3 linked regions of the Notamacropus eugenii genome follow. The protein of the gene in region 2 purifies or fractionates together with the protein of the main gene of each other region. This does not show direct contact. Links are inferred from orthologs where the notes say so. Each region holds a gene or a part of one and is shown on either strand. Other genes may lie near its edges.

What was found.
Region 1: the proteins of GNB1 (region 2) and CD81 purify together in Homo sapiens (co-immunoprecipitation; 4 studies listed by BioGRID and IntAct, with this or other methods). This does not show direct contact. The link is inferred for Notamacropus eugenii from reciprocal best matches to the Homo sapiens genes GNB1 and CD81.
Region 3: the proteins of GNB1 (region 2) and PFDN5 purify together in Homo sapiens (co-immunoprecipitation; 3 studies listed by BioGRID and IntAct, with this or other methods). This does not show direct contact. The link is inferred for Notamacropus eugenii from reciprocal best matches to the Homo sapiens genes GNB1 and PFDN5.

Annotation. Positions count from the first base shown.
Region 1 is NC_092873.1:25,498,924-25,506,707, reverse strand, and holds the start of CD81 (CD81 antigen), read left to right. Parts: upstream 1-4,777; 5' UTR 4,778-4,907; coding exon 4,908-4,973; intron 4,974-7,784. UniProt on the Homo sapiens protein: Structural component of specialized membrane microdomains known as tetraspanin-enriched microdomains (TERMs), which act as platforms for receptor clustering and signaling.
Region 2 is NC_092876.1:35,710,807-35,718,765, reverse strand, and holds the start of GNB1 (guanine nucleotide-binding protein G(I)/G(S)/G(T) subunit beta-1), read left to right. Parts: upstream 1-4,882; 5' UTR 4,883-5,021; intron 5,022-7,959. UniProt on the Homo sapiens protein: Guanine nucleotide-binding proteins (G proteins) are involved as a modulator or transducer in various transmembrane signaling systems.
Region 3 is NC_092874.1:226,235,770-226,243,086, forward strand, and holds the start of PFDN5 (prefoldin subunit 5), read left to right. Parts: upstream 1-4,307; 5' UTR 4,308-4,374; coding exon 4,375-4,446; intron 4,447-4,537; coding exon 4,538-4,640; intron 4,641-4,969; coding exon 4,970-5,001; intron 5,002-6,214; coding exon 6,215-6,289; intron 6,290-6,397; coding exon 6,398-6,503; intron 6,504-7,317. Other genes in the region: ESPL1 (separin), read left to right, coding at 1,918-2,033, 2,213-2,296, 2,532-2,696, 3,077-3,278. UniProt on the Homo sapiens protein: Binds specifically to cytosolic chaperonin (c-CPN) and transfers target proteins to it. Binds to nascent polypeptide chain and promotes folding in an environment in which there are many competing pathways for nonnative proteins.

The sequences.
Region 1 (7,784 bases), on a different chromosome or scaffold from region 2:
GGGTTCAGCAGAAGGATGAGCAGAGCTGCTTGATGATAAAATCAATGTGGGCTCTTGTCTGATCCATTTAATGCAGATAGGAAAGCTGTGGGGCCCAACTAGAGAGCCCAAGGGCCCACAGAGGCACAGAATCAGAGCAGGCAAGGACCCTTCGGCTTCCAGGCCAGCCCACACTGTAGTAGAGAGGAATCCCCATCCTGACCAGCAGACTTTGATACTGACCAGTGTTGGTGCCCTCCCCCCTCCACCTCACCCCTGAGAAGTCTTTTCCATGATGGGACAGTTATATCTCATTGTTGGGAAGCTTCTCCCCCACTGGGCTCAGTCTTATCCTCCAGAGACAAACTGGACAGTCTGCTTAGTTTTGAAGATAGCCCCACGTCCCTCAAATCTTCTCCTTCAACTGATCCTCCTTCCTCATCCTTCATTGGGACACTCTCCACTTAGCAATGAATGGCCTTGTAAGCCCAGAACTGACCAGAACACGCAGATGGGTCTTAGCAGGACAGAGGATGGGGCCTCCATATTCCTGGAAGAGATCTCTCTCTTTATTCAGCTTCTGGCTGCCATGTCACATTATCTCCCATCTCTCGGCCTCTTCTTCACTGTTTCCCATGCCCCATCTCCACCCCTACCTTCCCTAGCTTCCTTCAAAACTCAGATCAAATCCCACCTTGTTCAGGAAACCTTTCCAAGAGAAAAAGACAGAAACAGACAGACAGGGACAGACGGACAGAAGGACAGGAATTAGAAGCAATGGGATATTTTGAATTCTTTTGAAAACCTGTACTCTCCTTTTCCTGTTAATGTTATTACTGTAAGGGGATGACTAGAGAACACCCAGTTTAAAATTTCTAGTAGCAACCCCATCTGCAGAACACACACATCTGGTTCCTCATGTCTTGTCTCCCCCGTAAGACTGAATGGCTGGAGATGGCCCTCAGCTGTAACCTGGAGCCAGCCGGTCAAGGACAAATCCTCTTTGCAACAGTCGGCCCTTTGGACTTGCAAAGACAGCAATCATGCATCCTCTGACTCCAGCTCTGCTTTGGCTAGAAACTTTGAGGGTCTTCCTTCTCAGACTGAATTTTTGTTGTTGACTAGGTAAAGAGGTCATTCTTTGCTTTATTTCTTACCTTGCCTTAACCAGTGAATGGGCACTGCCTCAGTCAAACTGAGACTTGGGAAAGACCTCAGCTTCAAAAGGCATCCTGGGCTATCTCTGGTCGTTCTGATCTGCATCTCACTACTGGACGCAGGGGGCTCCGGAGGAGAAAATGAGGCCAGCGATTTTGCACAGCCCTGCCTCACTTCGATCCAATTTAGGTGCATATCCTGGAAGGACAAACAACTTCTGTGAGTGGAGAATAGGGTCCCCATTGGGGACCCAACTGGAACTGGCCAGTTGGGCAACACAGCTTTATTTCTTCTTCTTCCTCCCTCAGTCCCTCTCTCCCTCCCTCCTCTCCTCTCCTCTCCTCTCCTTCCTTCCTTCCTTCCTTCCTTCCTTCCTTCCTTCCTTCCTTCCTTCCTTCCTTCCTTCCTTCCTTCCCCTCTCTCTCTCTCTTTCTCTCTCTCTTTCTTTCCTCTCTATCCACATAGGGTATTATATTCTTATCTGTGGGTACTCTGCCCAAAGGAATGTAATATTTCATCCCTGAAAGCTTTTTTTCCCCTTAAACATCACTCCTCAAACCCAAATCACTTTGGTTCTCATTGACTGGCCAACAGGAGATTCCAGGTCAAGGCCTTGATTGACTCAGAGTGACTGTAGATAGCAATTGTTTCTGTTTTGGTCTGAAACCCTGATGGTCTTCCCTCCCTAGATTGATTTTTTTTTTAATTAAGTAAAGAGGATATTCTCTGCCTCATTTCTTACCCAGCCTTAATCATTGAATGGATGTTGCCCCAGTCAAACTGAGACCTGTCCAAGACCTTAGCTTAGGTCTAGCCAAAGTCCCCATTGCATCCCAGCCATCTCCAGTTGTCCTGATCTACATCTCACCAGTGGATTCAGATGGCTCTGGTGGAGAAAGTGAGGCTTGTGACTGCACAGCCCTCCCTTACTTCTATCCAATTCACTTGTGTGTCTTGGCATCACCTCCCTGACGTCAAGGTCCTCTTTGAGAACCAAGGACAGTCAACAACAGACTGACCTGCTTGAGAGATGGAAGTCTTTACTCATTTCTTTGGCTCTCCATCACTTAGCAAAGTGCTTGATCCACACAAAGCTCTTCATAAGTGTTTGCTGGATGGTTGGCATGGCAGCGTTGTTGGACATTGTTTGGGGCTGGAGGCCGATTCATCTTCCTGTCTGTGTGAGGGCTCGTCCTTGTCTCCTCATCTTTCCCCTAAGAAGAAGCTGAACCCCTTTATCAGATGCTGGACAAAGCTCTGGCCACCAGCTGCTTGCAGTGTGCCCCTTGATCTGGGGTCTTGTCGCCCTCTTCCCAGCACAGTTTCTGAGTGATGGCACCTCTGGCACTACCAGTGCTCCCACCTCCTCCTTTTCCAGATGCTTGTTTAATGGGCCCTAGAATTTTGCCAGAAAGCAGTCCTGTTCACAGGCCCCCAGGTTGCAGACTTCTCTGTTATGACTATGGGGGCACACACCCTTGGGCAACTCTGCTCCTGTTCTCTCTGACCACTCAAACATCCATTCAGACTGTGGCTCCTCAATCACTGGCCCATTCTTTTGGGACCTGGGCACATGTGTGTGTCCCTCGGTGCTCTCCTTAGCTTAGGGATCAACCGTCTACTAGCTTTTATCATTCCTTTATTTACAGGCGAAGGTCAGGCTCTTTGGGGGCTGGGGTGGGAGCTGAAGCAAAACCCAAGGTGAGCAGCTCTGTCTTTTATCTGGTCCAACCAGAGCAGAAGGGCTTATCTTTCCTTTGATTATGCCCTGCTTGGGCCAAGATTTGGACTTCTTGGGGCAACCCTGAGGGGCTAGGATTTTTAGTATTGTCATTCATGGGTCCCTACTAGTGTGCTTCCAAATAATTATCAACCAGTAGCTCAGTTGGCTTAGAGTAATGGTGTTTAATGAGGAGGGACGGTACAAAGGGTTGATACAAAAATTGTCCCAATCAGAAACATTCTTAACCAGCACACCCAGTGATGGGAGAGCATTGAGCCCAAAGGTAAGAAGGCACCAGTGTAGGGGAAGTGTGTCAAAGGATACCCTCACAGCTCTTGGGGAGCACAAGGCCTTCTCTCTCTGTCTCTCAGTCTTGTCTTCATGTAGTTGCTTCCTTATAGCTCTCTACTGGTCCCTGAGGGTCAATATTTTGGTACAATCCACCCTGAGGGGGGTTCTCACTACTTGAAGTTGCTTCTCTCTTGGTTGGCCATCTTTGTACATCTGCGTTTGTGTGTATTTGTCAAGATTTGCTTTCTGAGTCACCGGCTCTGTTCCAAGCTGAATTTGTGTGTCATGGTCATTGTGGGGTAGGGATTGGCATGCCCCTGCCATTTGCTGCGCTCTCATAGAGGTGTAGGGCTCTGCCACCTCAGGGCCCTGCAGAGCCTAGGGTCCTCCTCAGTGGATGCACTGCTGCGCAGGCCCTGGGAGTGTGTCTGAGTGGGTCAAGTTTAAGGTATCTGTGGGATATCATTCTGAGATGTGTAAGTGGCAGCTGGAGATGCAAGCTGGGACCTTAGGAGAGAGGTGAGGGCTGGATAAACGGATCTGGGAAACAACAGCACAGAGCTGATGGCTACATCCGTGGGATCTAACGGGAGCGCCAGGTCAAAGACTGAGCTTTCCTCCCTTTCCAGAGCCCCCAGCCCAGGACATTTCCAATTCCATCCCAGCAGCCCCTCCCACTTCCCAATGCAATGAGTTTTGCCTCCTATCTCCATTGTCTAGCAGCCTCCCCTGCTTCAGCGCCCTGGCTCAGGGATTTAGTTAGGACCGGAATAGAAATGGCTGCATCTCTCTGGCCCTTTCCGGTTTGCGGAACACTTTGGGGAAGAGAATTAGCGCCCCCGCCCCCGCCATTTTCCAGATGAGCGAATTGAAGCTCAAAGAGAGAAGTCCTGGGGAGCATGGGCAGAACTCTAACCCAGGGCCTCGACACTCCTGGGAGCTGGTGGTGAGAGAGACAGACAGGCAGAGAGACAGACAGGCAGAGAGACAGACAGACAGACAGACGGAGGGAGACAGGGAGGGAGGCCACAGGCCAGTGGACCCACCGGGCTTTTCGCTCGGAGCCCCCCAAGATGAGGGCTCGGGACCCGGGAGAGCGCGAGGAGCCCGGACCCGGGGAGCGCCCCCACCCACCCCGGAGGGCCCGGGGCTTCAGCGATCGGTGAAGCCGCCGGCTTTAGGCGGCCCTGGGCCTGGTTGGACAGCGCCGAGCCCGGCTCCTTCTCCTCCGGCCTCCATCGCCGGGCCCAGGGCTCAGCTGGGGAACCGACCGGGTGGTCCCGGGCCCGGCACGGATGCCAGGCTGTGCCCCCCTCCCCCGCCCTGCCCCCGCAGGCGGGATGCCCGGCCCAGGGGCGAGGGGGAGGGGCGCCCGAGAGCGGGGGGCGGGGCGGGGCCTGTCCCGGAGGGCGGGGCGGGGGCGGAGGAGGAGGGTGGCCACTGAGCGCGGAGCAGAGCCGAGCCAGAGCGGTGAGCTCAGCGAGCGCGGCGGCGGCGTCTGCGGAGGTGCGGGCGCTGCGCGAGGCCGAGCAGCCAGCCGGAGCCCCCCGAGCTCCTCCCAGAGCCCCCCGAGCCCCCCGAGCTCCTCCCAGAGCCCCCCGAGCCCCCGGAGCTCCCCCCGGAGCCCCCCCGGAGCCCCCCCCCGAGCCCCCGGAGCTCCTCCCAGAGCCCCCCCGACCCCCCGGAGCCCCCCCGAGCCCCTGGGCCCAGCGCCCCCTGAGCGCACAGCCCCGGCCCAGCCCCCGCCGCCGCCGCCATGGGGGTGGAAGGCTGCACCAAGTGCATCAAATACCTGCTGTTCGTCTTCAACTTCGTCTTCTGGGTGAGTGGGGGGCCGGCGATCGGGGGGCGGGGGCGGGCCTGGGCGTGGGGGGGTCCTGGCCTGCGGCCGCCGCGATGCGTGTGTGTATGCATGGTGTGTGTGTTGGTGTGGTGTGTGTGTGTCTGTCTGGTGTGTGTGTGTGTGTGTGTGTGTGTGCGTGCGTGGTGTGTGTGCGTGCCTGTCTGTCTGTCTGTCCGGTGTGTGTACGCGGTGTGCGTGGGCACGAACGTGGGGACTTGGGGGGCACAGACAATGGAGGCGCTTCCGAGGGCGCGGATGTTTTGCCAGGGCGATCGGCCCCAGGGAGGGGCGTCCCCAAGGACTGGGAGCGAGGGGAAGTTGTCCAACCACCTGCGAGCGCCTGTCCCTCGGTCCCTCGGTCCCTCGGTCCCTCAGTCGGTCCGTCCAGGCCTCAGTGGGGGCGGTCGGAGCCCGCAGCTGTTGCTGGGCAGCTCTCCCCGCAGGCGCTCTGGGGTGTGGGCACAGCCTCTCTCCGGCTCAGCCCCCTGTGACGCGGGGCGGGGCGCTGGGGGAGCCCTCGGCGTGGGCCTGTGAGTGGGGGCCACCTCGCTTGGGGCCTGGACCGGACTCCCCTCGGATAACGGCCTGGCAGGCCGGGGGGGAGTGGCTCTCGATCCCAGTGGAGCCCCACTCGGGAGATTCCATGACAACCTCGGCTCGGGCCTAGGCCCCACTCGGAGGGGCTGGAGCCAGGCTTGCTCACCCTCCCACGGAGGGGAGTGGACAAGTCCTGCATGAGGGGGACCCAGACCCTGCCAGCCCTGGCATGGGCACCTTCCCCTGGGTTGGCTGCTGTGGGAGCTCACCCAGAAGGCTCGAGATTCGCTTTCTCATGCAGAGGGCTGGGGAAGCTGGCCAGAACAGGCTCCTAGGGAATGTTTGCTGAAGCCACGAGGGAAGAGGGAAAGGGGCGTCTTTCACCCCCCCCCCCCAAAAACGTACATTTCCTCTAAGGTAGGCCAAGTTTCTGAGTGGTGACACCCAAGGCAGGTGACTAGGGGACAGGGCAACCTTTCAGACCCCTTTGGGTTCCAGCTCTGTTCTAAGGGTAAGCAAACAAGTTGGTCTGCCCTTCCTGGGCACGTGGGCCCCTTCCCTCCTGTGGCCCTGCCCCGCCTGCCAGAATCCTAGCTTTAGTGAGCTTGTGTGTTATGTGTAATCTTTGGGTCTTTCTCCAAGGGTGAAGGGCCCTGGGAGGAGCCTGGACTAGGACCACCGGTGGTGCTGGCTCCCCATTCTAGAGCTCCCCAAGGTGTGCAGAGCCCAGGTCCTGCCTGCTAAAGATTACCACCTGTAGTCCTTCGATTTTGTCAGTAAGGGCAATAAAATGAGATTAAGGCCTTGGTGCCCCTCCCCCTTCCCCTGTTTTCCCTTGGGCTCTCTGCCTCCCTCGGGGCTCTGTGTCTTCAGTTGCCGCCTGGGCTGGGGGCTCGAGCTTTCTCTCTCCCAGCCTTAGGTTTTGTGTTTTGTTTTCTGTTTTCCTGGCGTTAGGTTTTACTTTCTGTTGACCCCTGTTCCAGAGGTGGGGGAGGGGGTTTTGTTTCAGTTTCCTGTGCTCAGATTCTTGCTTAATTTTGGAGGGAGGGATGAGCAAGCTGGTGTGTGCGGGTCTCCCTTGTGCAGGCCTGTTCCCTTGCTCTCCTCAGATATCCCCGGGGGACTCTGGGCTCTTGCCCAGGGGGTCCCTTCCTTGGCAGGCAGCCCCCTCAGGTGGAGGGCTCTCAGCCTGATGCCCCCTTTCCCCTTTCATGGAAGGTAAGTGGTTTCCAAGTGGCAGCTTGGGTGGGGTACGTTGTCTGAGCTGAGCAGGGCAGCTAGCCGGTGCAGGTTTGGGGGTCTGGGATGGAGATGGGACTTGTGTGCCTGGAATTCCCCAGAGGGAGCCCTCTGGCCCCCAGGCACCTGGTCTCTAGCCCTGCTGCTGGACACCATGCTCAATAGGAGTGGCTGTCCTTTGGACAGCTCACCTGCTGCTGGCCTGGGAAGGGCAAATAGCAGAGCCCTTATTTGGTAGATGGGCACCCAGAAAGGCAGGAGCCAGGCTGGCCCATGGTGGCTCATGTCAGGAGAGCCAGAGTCTAGACCTGATGCTGGTGCTAACTGATTGTGACCAGGCATAGGCCCTGAGAACAAATGTGAACTTTGCCACTTCTCCCTGTGTGACCCCTCCCCGGTCTCAGTTTCCCCATCTGTAAGATGGACCAGATAATCTTAATTCCCTTCCACCTCTCAGTCTATGATCCCATGTCACTTCTCCCTCTTGAGGCTCAGTTTCTCACTGCCAAGTAGGGGGTGAACCCTACTTTGCTTCCCTCCTAGAGCTGGCCCTGGAGGGTCCAGTTTGGGGAAGGATTGGCACTTCCTGGACCCAAGAGGATGGCACAGAGAGGGTGGGGACCCTTTGAATGTTCTCAACCCTTTCTCACCCCCAACCTCTGAGGTACAACAGACAGAAGGTGACAGAGAACAGCCTTGAGGTTGGGAAATGTGTGTGTACCCAGTTGTTGGGACTTTCTGACCTAGGGAGCCCTGGAGTGCAGAAGAGGGTGCTGTGACCCAGGTTTGTCTTCTGTTCCCCCCGCCCCCAGTGCGTTGGTGGAGCTCTGAGGTTGGCTGGAAGAGGAGGGGGGAAGTGAGTGGTGAGCCTCAGGATGAGGTTTGTGGTCAGGATGCAGGGTCTTCATGATCAGACTGGGGCTCCCTGGGCTTCGGAGGGGTCACCTGCCACAGCGATAGGCTGTTAGGGCCAACCTCAGGAAGGGGCAGGTGGTTAACTGATAAACAAGCGCA
Region 2 (7,959 bases):
CCCCCTCTCTCCCCACTTACACTTCTGCTTCCAATCTCTTATTATAAGATCTTTGCCTCCTTGGGAGATTCCTCGCTCCCTCCTAAGGAAGAATTCCCCCTGCACTTGTAACCAGGACCCTGAATAAAAGCCTAACCCTTGTTCGATTCCGTAAAGTCTCTTCTCTCATACGTTTATCCGGTTTGGCCAACCGAAGACCTGCGATAGAGGTAAGGTAAGACTCGGGTAGCCCTCAGGCCTCTAGGCCTGGCAAGTTTTCCCAGCAGTTTTTGTAAAATAATGAGTTTTTGTGCCAAAAGCTTGGATCTTTGGGTTTATCATATACTAGATTACTATGGTCATTTACTATAATGTAATTTGTACCTAATCTATTCCACTGATCCACCACACTTTCGTTAGCCAGTACCAGATTGTTTTGATAATTACTGTTTTATAATAGAGTTTGAGATCTGATATGCTGGACTGCCTTACAAGGGTACATTTCAAGCACATCCTTTCTTAGGCCCAGAGGGCTCAATGAAACTCTGAAGAACTGAGAACCTGTATCTTTCTTGTCCACTCAGAAAGAAAAACCACCATGTTCATCTAAGTCCAGGCTAAAGGCCTCCTAGAGGAACTGGAAAAGTCCAAGGTTGGTGTCAGAGACCCATGTTCTTGCCTTAGTTCAGTCATTCTCTGTACACAACCTTGGACAAGCCCTTTCTCCTTTCTGGGCCTCAGTCTTCTCCTTTGCAAAATGAGAGATTTGGAATAGATAATTTCCAAAGCCCCTCCCAGCTCCATCACCTAAAATCATAACAGTTTTGTTTTTATCTTTAAGCCTTTAGGAACTAGTACATACTTGACACAGAATAAAATGATTTTCTCAAGTTGATCAAGTAAGGATTGGGCAATGATGAAAAGCTAATTCTTAAGAACATACAAAGTGAGTGCTATCTGATAAAACCCTCTACTTGTCTGGATGAAGTTTGGAGAGACTGCTTCTGGCCATGACGAATGGAAGAGTCAGTTCTGGGTATTGCCTGACTATTCCCTGGTGATTACTGTGTAAAGACAAGGAGCTTGTTGATTGGCTAAGGAGCAGAAGGTGGGTGTGTATACAAGAAGCACAACTGACCAAAATGATCTCAATTGTCCCTGGTGGTGATGAAGGAGGTAGTTAATGTTGTAAGCCTCTGGTTGCAGAGAGACACAGCTCCAATAGAAATGATATTCCCTGAAAGACTGTGATGAAAAGAGTTACTCCATCCATCCACTACCCTTCACTCAGAGATCAGTGAATCAGTCAACTACTGTGTACCAGGTACTGTGCTAAGCACTGAGGTTACCAAAAAAGGCCAAAAAAGAAAAAAGACAACACCAAAAAAAAAGCCCAAAACCAGTTCCTTCTCTCAAGGTGATCATAGTCTAATTGGGAAAACAATAGATCAATAATTATTTACAAGTAAGATGTAGATAGGGTAGTTGGGGGTAGCCTCTCAGGAAAGGCACTAAGATTAAGGAGGACTAAGAAAGGCTTTCTGTAGGAGATGCCACTTTAGCTGAGACTTGAAAGAAGTCTGGGAAGCCAGGAGGTGGAGATGAGGAGGATGTTCCAGGCATGGGGAACTCTTATTAATTTCCATATCTAATTAATTTGTCAAGTCTTATTGATTCTACCTTTTCAACATCTCTCACATCAGCTCCTCTTCTCTCCACTCACTTTATAGATACCCTGATTCAATCCTGCATCACCTGGATTACTGTAGTAGCATCTCCACTGATCTCCCAGCTTCTGGTCTCTTTCCTCTCAAGTTATCATCTCCAAATTTCTGCCAAATTGATATTCCTAAGGAGCAGAAGCTGGGCATGCTAAAGAACAAACTTGACTGTGTCATTCACCTGCTTGAGAAATTTCAGAAACTGCCTCTAGGATAATATAATGTTAATTAGATCTTCCCCACCCATAAATAGGCCTCAAGGACCTTTTGTTAATTTTTATTGAGACCCTAGGTCAGAAGGTCATGCCCTCCAGCTCTGAAAAGGGTATACATACTCTGAGGTGAAGTTTTACTTTGGGGATTAGTTTTTGGAAGAAGGTTTGTGTTCCAGATGAGACTCTGAGAAGCTGCTAAGGAGCTCTCCGGCTTTGAAAACCCAGATTTTGGTGCTTCTTTCTCTGGTAACTATGTATCTATAGTTGGACAGTTGGATCTATCTGCTGATCTGTGATGTATGTACTGCTTATGGTCAGGCAGTTGGAAGCCCTGTCTGTTGATGTTTATTTCTCTGTATTTTCTCTGAAGTTCAGGATGCTGACTTTTTCCCCTGAACTAAGTGAATAATATATACGTGCTTGATGAAAGTGGTTTCATTAAGTTGTCTTTTCTTTTAGAAAAGCAGATCAGACCTGTACAGCAGGCCCTCCTGTGTATGTCAGGGTGCTTGCTTATAAGATAACAACTGCAACAAATAAGAATAATAAAATAGCTAGCATTTATATATGGATCAGGCACTGTACTAAGTGCTTTATCATCTCATTTGATCCTCAGAACAACTCTAGATGGCAACTACTATTATAATCCCTATTTTAAGTTGAAGAAACTGAGGCAGAAGTTAAGTGACTTGCCCAGGGTCACACAGCTAGCTAGGGTCTGAGGCCAAATTGAACTCATTTTTCTGACTCCAGGCCCAGCAACTCTACCTGTACCCACCTCAAAGGAAATCCTGACTTTTGTTTAGTGTTTAAAGACTTCAGAATCTGGTTCCAATCTATCTTTTTTTCTAAACAAATAAACAGATACATTTTTATTGATTTATTGCCTAAATTTGTCCCTTTTTCTCTTCCTTTCCTCCCTCAGTCACCACATAATTTTTTTAAAGATGAAGTAGGAAAAAAAAATCACAAAACAATCAATATATTGAAAAAAGTCTGAAAATATATGCCATGTTCCACCCCTATGGACCTACTCCCCATGCAAAAGCATGAGGATAGACCTTTTCTCCTATCTTGTCTTCCCATTGGCCCTTGTTCTTCGTAATTTTGCAGCATTGCTTTTCAGGAAGAGTCTGACTTGACTGAACAACAAAAAGAAATGTCATTCTCAGGGCATTCTCCCAGGTTATTGCCCCTTCCTCCCCCATGCCCAGAATTCTCTGCCTCCTGGCTCTCTTCTAGGCCCAGCTAAAAACCCCATCTCTACAAGGAGCCTTTCCTGGTCCCTCTTAATAGGTGTGTGTTCCCTCTAATGATCACCTCCATATTATCCTGCATATATGTCCTGTTTTTCCAGGGTTGTTGGCATCTTATCTGTCTCCCCCAATGAGGACTGGGAGCTCCTTGAAAGAAGGGACTGTTTTTGTCTTTCTTTGTATTCCCAGCTTAGTATAGAGCCAAGCATATAATAGGAGTTTAGTAAATGTGCACTGACTAACAGAGGTTTGCTGGATTGAATCGAACAGAAGAGAGTAGGTGCTTAATAAATGCAGGTTGGATTGTATGGAACAGAAGACAGTGGGTGCTTCATAAATGCCTGTTGGATTGCATTGTGTGGAGCAGAAGACAGTGGGTGCTTCATAAATACGGGTTGGATTGCATGGAACAGAAGACAGTAGATGATTAATAAGTGTGGGTTGTTGGATTGCATTGTATAGAACAGAATACAGTGGGTGCTTAATAAATGCCTGATGGATTGTGTGGAACAGAAGACAGTGGGTGCTTCATAAATGCCTGTTGGATTGTATGGAACAGAAGAGAGCAGGTGCTTAATAAATGCGGGTTGGATTGTATGGAACAGAAGACAGTAGGTGCTTCATAAATGCCTGTTGGATTGTATGGAACAGAAGAGAGCAGGTGCTTAATAAATGCGGGTTGGATTGTATGGAACAGAAGACAGTGGGTGCTTCATAAATGCCTGTTGGATTGCATTGTGTGGAGCAGAAGACAGTGGGTGCTTCATAAATACGGGTTGGATTGCATGGAACAGAAGACTGTGGATGATTAATAAGTGTGGGTGGGATTGCATTGTACGGAACAGAAGACAGTAGGTGCTTCATAAATGCCTGTTGGATCGGGTGGCACAGAAGACAGTAGGTGCTTCATAAATGCCTGTTGGATCGGGTGGCACAGAAGACAGTAGGTGCTTCATAAATGCCTGTTGGATCGGGTGGCACAGAAGACAGTAGGTGCTTCATAAATGCCTGTTGGATTGGGTGGCACACAAGGGAGCGGGCGCTGAATAAATGCCGGTCGCCCTGCATTGTATGGAACAGAGGAGAGGAGGGGCCCCGCCGGCGCCCTCCCCCTCCCCCGCCCCCCCCCCCTCCCCAGCCCGGGGCGGTGGCCGGCGGGGCTCCGGGCGGGTGGGAGGACGTAGAAAGGAGAAGGAGCAGCAGTCCGGCTCCCGGCTCGCTGGCTCGCCCGCAGGCAGGCTGGCTGGCTGGCTGGCTGGCTGGCTGACTGGCTGGCTGGCTGGCGCGCGGCGCATGCGCCCTGAGGCGGGGCGGGCGGGCGGGGGCGGCGGCGCGCGGAGGGGGAGGGGGAGGGGGAGGGGGCCGGTGGGCGGGGGCGGGCAGGGCGGTGCGTGGGGTTTCCCGAGGCTGCGGGCAGGGGCCCCCGCCGCGCCCATCGCCGATGGCTGGAGGGATCTGAGGGGCGGACGGAGGCGGCGGCTGCAGCGGCGGGAGCCAGGCCGGGCGCGCGAGGCCGGGGGCGCGAGGGCGGACGCGAGAGGACGAGCGCGAGAGCGGGAGCGCGAGCGGGAGCGGGAGCGCGAGGGCCGGGGCAGCGGCGCGAGCCGGGGCGGGGGAGCAGCAGCAGCGGCCTCGACACGCCCGCCCAGGACCCTCCGGCCGGCCGGCTGACCGACGGCCCGACCGACCGACGGACCGAGCGACGCCGACGGCCCGCGGGAGCCCGGCCGGCCCGGCCCAGCCCGGCCCAGCCCCGGCGGCGGAGGAGCAGGAGCAGGAGGAGGCCCAGGCGCCCAGGCCCCCGCGGCGGCGGACGAGGCCCCCGCCCGTTCATGAGCGGCCCCGCCGAGGTAAGCCCCCTCCCGGCCCGCGCCCCCGCCCGCCCGCCTCGTGGGCGCCCCTCGACCCGGCCGCGGCCCCCGAGCTGGGGCTCCCGGACCCCCGGCCGGCCCCGCCTCGGCGCCGGGCCCGGCATCCCCGTCTCCATGTTTCCTCCCTGCCCCCCGCATCCTTCCCCCGGGCCCCCCGGCCGGGGAGGGGGCCGCGTGTGTCCGCACCTGCGCGGGGCCGCGGCGGCATTTTGCCTCTTTCTCGGTAAAAATAGCCACCCAAAGAGGTAAAAGTCAATTTGGGCACTTCTGCCCCCTCCCCCATCTTCTACCCCAAAAGTGGGTGGGTTGGTGCTTACGCGGCCGGGGGGGGGGGAAGGAAGGGGAGCAGGGAGTGTTCGCTGGGCCCCCGGGGTCGGGCGGTGGGGAGCCTCGTGGGCTTCCACGCGCGCTCGTGATGTCCCCCAGACCCTCCGCAATGGGGAGCCGGCGCTGGAGAAGGGCTTGGAAACTGATCCCCAAGAGCGGAGTGAAAGAGATTTTCAAGAAGGCAGCTGGGTGTAGTGTGACGGGGGACAATCGATTAATCCAAAAGGGGGTGTCGGCGTGGGCGAACCCCAGCCCCCCAAAAGAAGCCCCCAGAGTTGGGGGGGTGAGTGTTGTAGCCGAAAGCGCGCTGGCAGGAGCTGCTGCCCAGCGTGTGCCTGTGCATTTCATCCTTCTGCATCTGGGAGGGTGGTGCTTTTTTTTGGGTGCATGTAACTGGAATATGTAAGATCATGGAGGATGTGTGCCAGAACAGAGTAAGGGAGCGAGTCTCCATGGAAATCATTGCTAGAATATGGAGTTAAAAATACCCCAACAGCCTATTGTGAGAAGTTCAAGATTCTTGGGAGAAAGTGAGATTTTTCTCCCACAAAAATGGGATTCTGATTCTAAGCCAGTAAACAAAGGAATAGGAAGCGGTAAATACTCTGGAAGAGGAGAAGGGGAATAGGGTTTCCTTACCTTCTCTCCACCCCCCCTCCTTCTTTCGGATTTTTTTAAATAGAGGTTATTTCAGGATGCCAGTTTGTCACTTGCACGGGATTCGTTGAGATTTTAGCAGATGTGGCTTGAAAATTTTTGTAACAAAATCACTTGGGGCACAAAACGCTTAACTTTAAAATGCATTTTTCCTTTGCCGATGACTTCCACGTTACAATTTTAGACACTGAATGCTTATTTAAAGAAGACAGGAACAATAAAATGAGGAAGCTGAGAACCTACTAAACTTGGGGGTTTTTTGGGGCAGCTGACTAAAATGAGGGAGGGGATTTAAAACAGAAACAAAGACCTGGGAGAAGTCAAGAGGCAGCTGTAACCTCGTGAAACGTGCACCCAGCCCTTGGCTCTGCTGCCGAGCGCGGAGCTGCTTCAGAGGGGGCTTGGGGGGAGGGATGAGGTGCAAAACGATGGCCCCCCAGAGGGCTCCGCGCCCCGCGGGGGGCAGCGGGGCTGGCCTGGGGCAGGCAGGGCACGGCGGCCGCCTGGCCCGGTGCAGACTGCCTGGGCGGGGTGGGGGGAGAGTTCTCCCCTCATCCTTGCTGTGAATGAATGGGTCCTTCTGTGCCTGGGCCCAGTAACTGCAACAAGATGGCGTTTCCACCCGGGCTGTAGCTCTCTCCTTCTCGAAGCTCCCCTCTCTTCACAGCTTTACTGAATTACATTCTGGGGTTTTGTTTGCATTTTGCATCGGTTGGCTTTCGTTTGCATGATTTGAGCAGACTTCGGAAGAGGAGGGGGGTAAGAAGGGAAGTGACTCCAGTGACTAGGTTTCTTCCTATTTTTCTTGAAGGGCTTCTCTTCAAACTGAAGACCAGTGGGAGGAGTAAATAGTTCAATTGAAAATTCCACCTAGATGGTAACTGGAACAGGGGAGAATGTGAATTTTTACCTCTTGCTGTATCATTTCAGACTGTTTTCTTTATGTAATATCTGATTATTTTGTTCACGTTAGCTCTTAAAAATACTTTATTAGCTCAGCACTTAAACGTACTGAATTTATTAACATTACAAAAATAGAATTTTTCCACCTAATCTACTTGTTGCTAGATCATTGTTGCTCTTTTCTGGGGGAAACTTTATAAAAGCTTTAAAATTGTGGTTGAGCTAACTAACATGTTTCTGTGGATAGTTTTCGCTTAGTGAAAGAAAATTTTGTTTTGGAAAGGGAAGTGGGAAAAGTCAGTTAAATAGCACATCATAAATTAGAAGTAATATGTATTACTTAGAGTTTGGGGGAGTTAGCATGCTTTTTGTATTTTAAATTTGTTATACACAGCAAGGACTATGACATATCAATAATCTGAGGTCGTATTGGGTACTAAAACAGCATTGCTTGTCTACTTTATTATTAAAGTAACCAATGATAGTTTTGAATAGTTTCACAATTATGAAATGTTCAGGTTGACCCCTACTGTCTGATAGTCATTCTCTTTATTTTCCATTGTACATGTTCCATTAGTACGTAGTGCATAATAGAGTCCAGAAAATCTTTTTTGGCATGGGTGGGTGAGACAGCCCTTGTCTGAGAGTAAGGATTCAGGGTGCAACTTAGGTGAGGGTGTGAGGATTTCTAAGGGAGCTAGTGTTTTGGGGGGGGGGGGTCATTTAACTGTTGATGGGAATGAAATTGATCTGGGCTGTATTACTCCAGAGAACAACATCAGAACCAGTGGGTGGGAGGCTCCAGGCAGCCAGGGGTTGATTCAGTGTAAGAGTTTTCTAATGATTAGAGCACCCCCCAAAAGAGAATGGGGGCTGTTTTGGGGAGGGGGGCCAGTCAGCAAGAGTTTTCAGACTTAGGCTCCCATTGTTCAGGGACAGAGAACCTTGGGCAAATCTTAGATCTTTCTCTCTAAAATGACAGGGTTGTGTTGGAGGATCTCTAATGTTCCATCTGAAGCTCAAAAATCTG
Region 3 (7,317 bases), on a different chromosome or scaffold from region 2:
AATGTCTCCGGTCACTAGAATCATATGACCAGCACTGTTCCTCACAAACCAGAATTCTGGGAACTACCTACAGAGCAGGTGACTATGCCTTGAAAACTTGATGGCCACTCAACCCTCATTCAGAATTTGTGCCTTTCACTGAAAATCAGCAGTAGCCCCAGGCCTTTCTGCTGGCTTACAGCTTTTCACATTGCATATTCTTTATATACCCTCTAGGGTCGTGCTCAGGGCATAGCTTCATCTTATGGGGAGATTTAAACCCAAGTGTAGCTGGTCATACTTGCTTCAAGGCTTCCCTAGTAATCCAGTATCATTCATGGTTCTTGCTGTTGTGATAGGTCACTACAACCTTATTCATCAGGTTTGTGCCTTTACCATCCTTCAAGCTAGAAAGCCCTCAGTTCTTGCATGTCCATCAGTGCTTAGGTTTGTGACTTTCTCCATCTCAGAGTGACTGTCCTTGTCCTGGCAGATAACAATGGCACATGTGTTCCTCCATTCTGGCTCCTTCCAGGGCCTCCTATCCACCTGTCATGTCTGCTGGTGGCAGACTGCGTTCCAGTCTATGGCCTTTCCACAAACCTCATCTCATTCTTCTGAAAACTGATGTTTACCCTCCCTCAGACTGACAAAACAAAGGCACCCATCTGATTTTACGATAACATTTATGCTGCCGTGTCTCTTCCAAGACGTTTGAGTTTCTTTATTTTGTCACTGATTTAGTTTGCTGTAACATATAATTATGTTCACATTTCATTCTACTCTACATATAGCCCTTATCACCATTATTTCTTGGTTCCTTTAGGAGAGTTATAAGCAACCTAGACTGACTTTAAATCAAGTTTCATTGAGCCAAGATTAACTTATAAACATGCCAATTAATGTTGTAGGAAGTTCCTCCAGGTGAGGAGTCACAGGTTCCACCTCCATTCAGGGACAGGACTCCTGGAAACTGGAAGACACCTAAATTGGAGCCTTTCCTGAAGTCCAGATCATTATCTCCAATCCAGTGACTACCTTCTTTGTTTCACATCTAACCCTGATTTCTATCAACCCTGTCTATTCAACATTTCCCCTCCTGTTTTCCCCTTCTCACCTCCCCGCCCCCAAAAAAAGATACCCTTTGGGAAGGAAAAAGACTTTATGGTCCAGGCCTCCCTCCCTTTGCTGCTCTGGCTCTCCCCAAGTGGAGTGGGTCAGAGACTTAGCTTTGACTTCTGTTTACTAGCTCTTTCACTGTGGTGTGATCACTTAAACAAGTTCCAGCACTCAAAGTTGTGTGATGGGGCAGGTATGGGCCAGCAGGGAAGCATCCTTTGAGGAATTCAAGGATATAAGTCATGAGGTGCATGAAAGGTTGTGAAAAGGTCACACCCCTGGCCAGGTCTGGATTTACCTCTGACCAGAGGTACATCCATCTGCCTCCCTCGACTTCAACTCCCAAGCCTTTGAAATTAGATTCCCAGCTTTCTGTTTCCCTTAACCCTGGCACCTGCAACTACCTGCCTAACCTAGTTTTAGACCCTTTCGCTTATTCCTGGGATTTTTCTTTTCTAGGCCTTATTGGCAATCCATTCTCTGCCACTCTTTCTGAATTTCTTCTGCATGTTCCTACCCAGTCTATCTCGCTTATTCCTTTTATCTCAGCTAAGAGCTTCCTTGGCTGGCCCCAGTCAAGACCTCTGCTGCCCTCTGCTGTCATAAGTGACACCTAACACTTCTCTACAGCGCCTTGTTAAAGGATGTCATTTCAAGATCATTCTTATATTGGGACTTGATCCCATATCTAAAATAGAGATAATATCTCTAGCATCTGCCCAACAGGCTTGTGGCAAGGCAGTAGAATAAAGACTTAAGACATCAAGGTCCCAGCTCTGTCAGATTAGGGGATAATGAACATTTATCTTACTGATGCAGACCCAGGCTTCATCAGTGTGGAACCGGGGAGTGAATCCACAAAGTACCTTCTACATCCTGAACCCACAGAACAATTTGGGAAACACAGAGGAGCGGTTCCGAGCACGCTTCTGCAGGTGGGATGGGTAAAGAAAGAAGAATGTTCAAGGGTCCACTCCTAGACGCCTGACAGGGAGGGGCGGTCAGGAAAACGGGTTCCCTGGTGTCACCTCTTTAGTATCTCCTTTACTTTGGGCCTTTTTTCCTGTTGTTTTTTCTTCCATTGCACTTTGTTATAGTTTATTCCTCTCCACAGTGAGACTGGCTGGAAGGGACTGGTTGGTGAGGCCCCAAGCCAAGAACAGGTCCAGGCAGCCTTGACAGAGCATGATCTGTATATGTGAGTACTGGGGTGGGAAGAGACTACATCCCCAAAGGGACAAGAATGGGGTCATCTGGGTCCTGTTACCCTTTCTTAGGAGACCTCTTGAAAACTGAGGCTGCAGAACTCTTATTTACTGAGAAAAGTTCTGCAGGAAGGAGCTGTTGATGATGTAGGGGAGAGTGAAAAGAAAGGGTAGTTTAAGGAAGAGAAACTGAGTCACAGGCTGTAGCTCATTCCACTTCTGCATCAGTTATGCAGGGCACGGGGCTGGTGCCTCTTTCCTGGACGGGCAGGCAATCCAGCGGCTCAACTGTCGAGCAGTGGCCTTGTTGTTTGGGTGTAGCAGTGCTGCCCTGGCTGTACAGGGGAACCTGGAGGGGGCTGGCATCGTTCTCAAGTACATCATCGCAGGCTGGTGAGTCTTGACCAGGAGCATTGATTTTGGAGAAATAGAGAACTTTCCCCCAAGCCCCCTCTTCCCTTTCTCCCCCTTCCCCCCCCAGGTGGCTCACTCTAGGGCTTTCTGATTCTCTCTAGCTTTCCCTTTCTCACACACACACACACACACACACACACACACACACACACACACTCCAGCTTTGAATTCTGAGCCATAGCTCAGCCAATTCTTTCCTTTTCTTCATTATCCCGTATCCAGAGCTCTCTTATGGCCCACCTTTGCCCCAACTCTGTCCCCCAAATGAACTGGCAAATGGTTTTGGGTTTTTTTTCCCTCTTAGCTCTTATAGATCTATCCCAGGCCTTTTCTTAACCTCTTTTCCTCTGTTCTTCTAGCCCCCTGTTCTTGGGGAACCTGTGGGATGTGACAGACAGAGAAATAGACCGTTACACAGAAGCGCTGCTGCAGGGCTGGCTGGAGGCTGGCTCAGGAGCGCCCCTCCTCTCCTATGTCATCCAGGCACGCCAGGCTCCCAGACTCAAATACCTCATCGGTGCTGCCCCAGTAGCTTATGGCTTACCTGTCTCCCTGCAGTGATACCCAGAAGAAGTCTCCTTATAGTCCTTACCTCTGGTTTCTTTGTTCAAACACCCTACTTCTGAAAAACCCCCAACTCCGGTTGAATATTTAATTGATTTTTTCAGTATGTGTTTTTACTCACTGTAATAAAGTTATTACTTAAACTTTGTTGTGTCTGGTTTCTCCGGAGGGATTACTAAAAGCATTTCCCAGCCCTTGCCGTGCACCTTCTTTGTTGGTGCTTTGTACTGTTAAGTTTCCACCACCCTGGCTATCCTTGCTTTGTGCCTCCTCTTCTCGTTATTTCACTTAAAGGCCAACATTTAAGGCAGAAGGAGTGAGGAGTACTGAGTGTGGGGCAGTGGTGTGGCCATTAGAGACTAGTGGAACTGACTCTCCCAACAGATAACATTTCTGAGGAGGAGCGGAGGGGCAAGCGGGGTCCAGTGGCCTTTCAAAGACCTTGGCCCTGGCTCTGAGATCCGAGTACCAGAAGGCTGCCTTCCAGGGTGGCCTGGAGGATGTGATGCCCAGTGCGCTCAGTCACCAAGCGCTAAGGGCCTCCTGGTGTGCCAGGAACTGCGGCCGGGGAGCAGGCCGGTGGGAGGAAATCCTTTCCGAAAATCTGCCACTTAGTATCAGAGTACTGCCAGGAGGACTAAGAAACTGACACTTAGGATGCAGCCTGCGCGAGTCGGGCCAGCACTCGAACCCGGGACTCCCGTCCTGCCTCCCCACCTTTTCGGCCCCGAAAGCCTCAGTGAGATGCCCCCTTCCCCGGGGCAGTTGGGGGATCCCGAGCGTGGCGAAGGGAACACGATCCGGACACGACTCTGAGTAGCACTGTATTTCTACTCCGCACACTGCAGGGCAACATGCTGGATACATTATGGCCGGCGGGGCGGGGCGGGGCGGGGCGGGGCGGGGCGGGGGGAGGCTGGGGGGGGGCGGGGGGCGGCGCTCCGGGAGCAGTGGGCCCGCGGGAGGCTGACGGCCCAGGATCATAGAGAGCGCGGGCCGGGCGGGCGCCTCCGGGTGCCATAGAGACGCGGCCGGCGGGTGGCTAGAGCGCCTCCCACGCCCGGCGCGCCCCGCCCTCGCCCAGCCTCCCAACATGGCGCAGTCGGTGAACATCACGGAGCTGTCCCTGCCGCAGCTCGAGCTGCTCAAGAACCAGCTGGACCAGGTGAGGCCGGCCCGGGGCGCCCCGGACCCCGGACCCCGCCCGTCCGCGCCGGGCCCCCCCTCATTCTTGTCTCTCCCCGCGCCCCTTACAGGAGGTGGAGTTTCTCTCCTCATCCATCGCGCAGCTCAAGGTTGTCCAGACCAAATACGTGGAGGCCAAGGAGTGTCTGAACGTGCTCAACAAGAGCAACGAGGGTATGGGGGTGGGGGGGCGGGGGAAGGGGAGGGGGAGAGGGCCGGAGAGGGCGAGGGTGTGGGCTGGGCTTTTCTGTAGTAACCCATCGCCCAAGTTTGAGAAGCAGCTCTTCAGAAAGCCTTCTCTGCCCCCTCCAGCCTCACACCAAAGGCCTTCCATTTCTTTCACACTTTGACTTAAATGCCAAATGTCAGAAGCTCCCCCTTCCTTCTTCTTTTCTCCTCGCTCATTTTTGGTTATCAGATTGAGTAGTTCCAGCCTGGAAAACCTCCTGGTTGGGTTTCCTTTTAGCGTCGTCCCCTGGTGTTTATCTCTGTTACCTTCACAGGGAAAGAATTACTCGTGCCATTGACCAGTTCTGTATCCTTCCACTGGAGACTGCCGGTTTCCTTCCCACCTAGAAAACGGTTTTGGTTCCTTGGGCAGAGTCCTTTCCGTACTTGATTGAAAAAACTCCTCGCTCACATGGGGCCAGAGGATGTTTCTTAGCTACCTTGCCATGATCTAACCTCAGCTCTCTTCAGATACTTAAGTTCAGGTGATCAGTGGGAAGGGAAAGAGTTAATTGCAACTACCTGATTCAAGTTTATACTGGCCCTTTGAGTCCCCTGGAGTCCCCTAATCAGATTGAGTATAAGACAATGTCCTGGCTACCACAGGATTAGTAGAGCTGAGATCAAGCAATATCCTTGTCCCTTAGAAGCTTATTAGTAAACTACATACGAGTCACAGAGAAATAGAGATGAGGGAAGGAAGAAGACTTTGTGGGTATTGCTTCACAATTTGAGATTAACTATCCCTTTACCATGTGTCACTATACTTCAACAGGCTATTCTGGACATTGCCTACGTCAGGTTTATAGAGAAAATCCCTGTATTCTGTAGTCTAATAAACTTCCTTAAACATAAATAAGTACTGATGGAAGATAAACAGTTAACTAATAGACGCTGAATGACTTCACATATAAATACATGTAAATCAGGAGCCAAGTTGTTGGTGGGTTTGGAAGTGAGGCCTGAGTTTTATATTTGGTGGTGGTGTTCAGTCATGCCTGACTCTTCATGACTCCAGATTTTTTTGGCAAAGATACTAGAGTGGTTTGCTATTTCTTCTCCAGCTTATTTTATGCTGGATATGCACACTTTAAAGATGAAGAAATGGAGGCAGATAGGATTATGTGACTTGCCTGGGGTCACACAGCTATGTCTGAGGCTGAATCTGAATTGGTACTCTGTCCACTGTGCTACTTTTCCACTGCCTATATATTTAATAGGCTTGTGGAAAGTTATCCTTTATCAATATGAGTACCAATGGGAGTTAACATTTCAGGAAGAGAAATGGATTTGTTTTTGAATGTGAGCAGGTGGAAATGAAATTTTCAGTTATAGGGCACCTTCTTATGGTTTCTTTAGGGCTCTCTGTTCACAGAGAATGCCTTGACCGTTCTCCTCCTCTGTCCATTTCACACTATACTAAGTTCACAACTCTCTAGCTTCAGAACTTCTGGCTTTTGAGAGGGAAAGTGAAGGTGTCCCAGGCTGGGCCAGCCCTTTCCTTAATCCTCACCCCTCAGATGTATGTACCTGGGAAGCTACATGATGTGGAGCATGTTCTCATTGATGTAGGAACTGGCTACTATGTGGAGAAGGTAAGTTGGTGCAAGAGGAGGGGTTGGGAGATGGCATCATTGACAGGACAGTTGGGATATCTCTCCCCAAGAGTCCATGAGGGTCATTAACTTCTCCTCCTTTGGCAGTCAGCAGATGATGCTAAAGACTTCTTCAAGAGGAAGATTGACTTCCTCACTAAGCAGATGGAAAAAATTCAGCCCGCTCTGCAGGAGAAGCATGCCATGAAGCAGGGTGAGCCCCTGGGTTCTAGGTCGAGTGAACCTCCTTTTTGTTTGATTCTAGGCCTATCACTGTCTTCCCATCTTTCTCTGTTGCCTTTGTCTTTCTCTGGGTGTTATATGTGCTTGACTTGGCAATTACCACATATCGAGTACCCCCTGTGAGCAGAGATGTGCCAGCTCTGGAGGGTAGTCCCAGTTTAGTGGAGGGTAAAAAAACACGTATACCTCTGAAGATCTGTGACTTCATCAGTGTAGGGGCTCCCTCCGTGGCACAAGTTACAACTCATCCACATTCTATGAGCATGTGCAGTTCTTGTCTTTGTCTTTCCATTTCTCCATAGCTGATCTACCCAGTGGGCTGGTAGCATTCCCTTGACTCTTTTAACATTTCCAGGGTGCCAGTGTAGCAGTCTGTCTGCCCATCTGTTACACAACTTCTTACTCTAACTTCTTTGGTAATACGCCACACCCTACTTTTGCCTACCATGCAGCTTTTCACTGCACTTTGGGTCAGCTGAGTGTTGATTCTTTTGAGATTGTAGAATTCCATGCTTCACACTCATAGCATCATCTGGAAACTACCGTGGATAAAAAGAAGGGCTTTTGTGGCAGGGATCAGTTTGTAATTACACGAAGTGGTATTCAGCTGCCCCGCTGTAATTCAACCCGATCTTAAACTACCTATTCATTTCAGGACCCAGCTCATCTGGGCTACCTGTAATGCCTTTGTGAGATAAATATGTACTGAGAGACTAACTCAATGGGCTCTCTGTGCAACTGCATGTCATAATTTGGACAATATTCATTCTTCATCCACTTGTTTT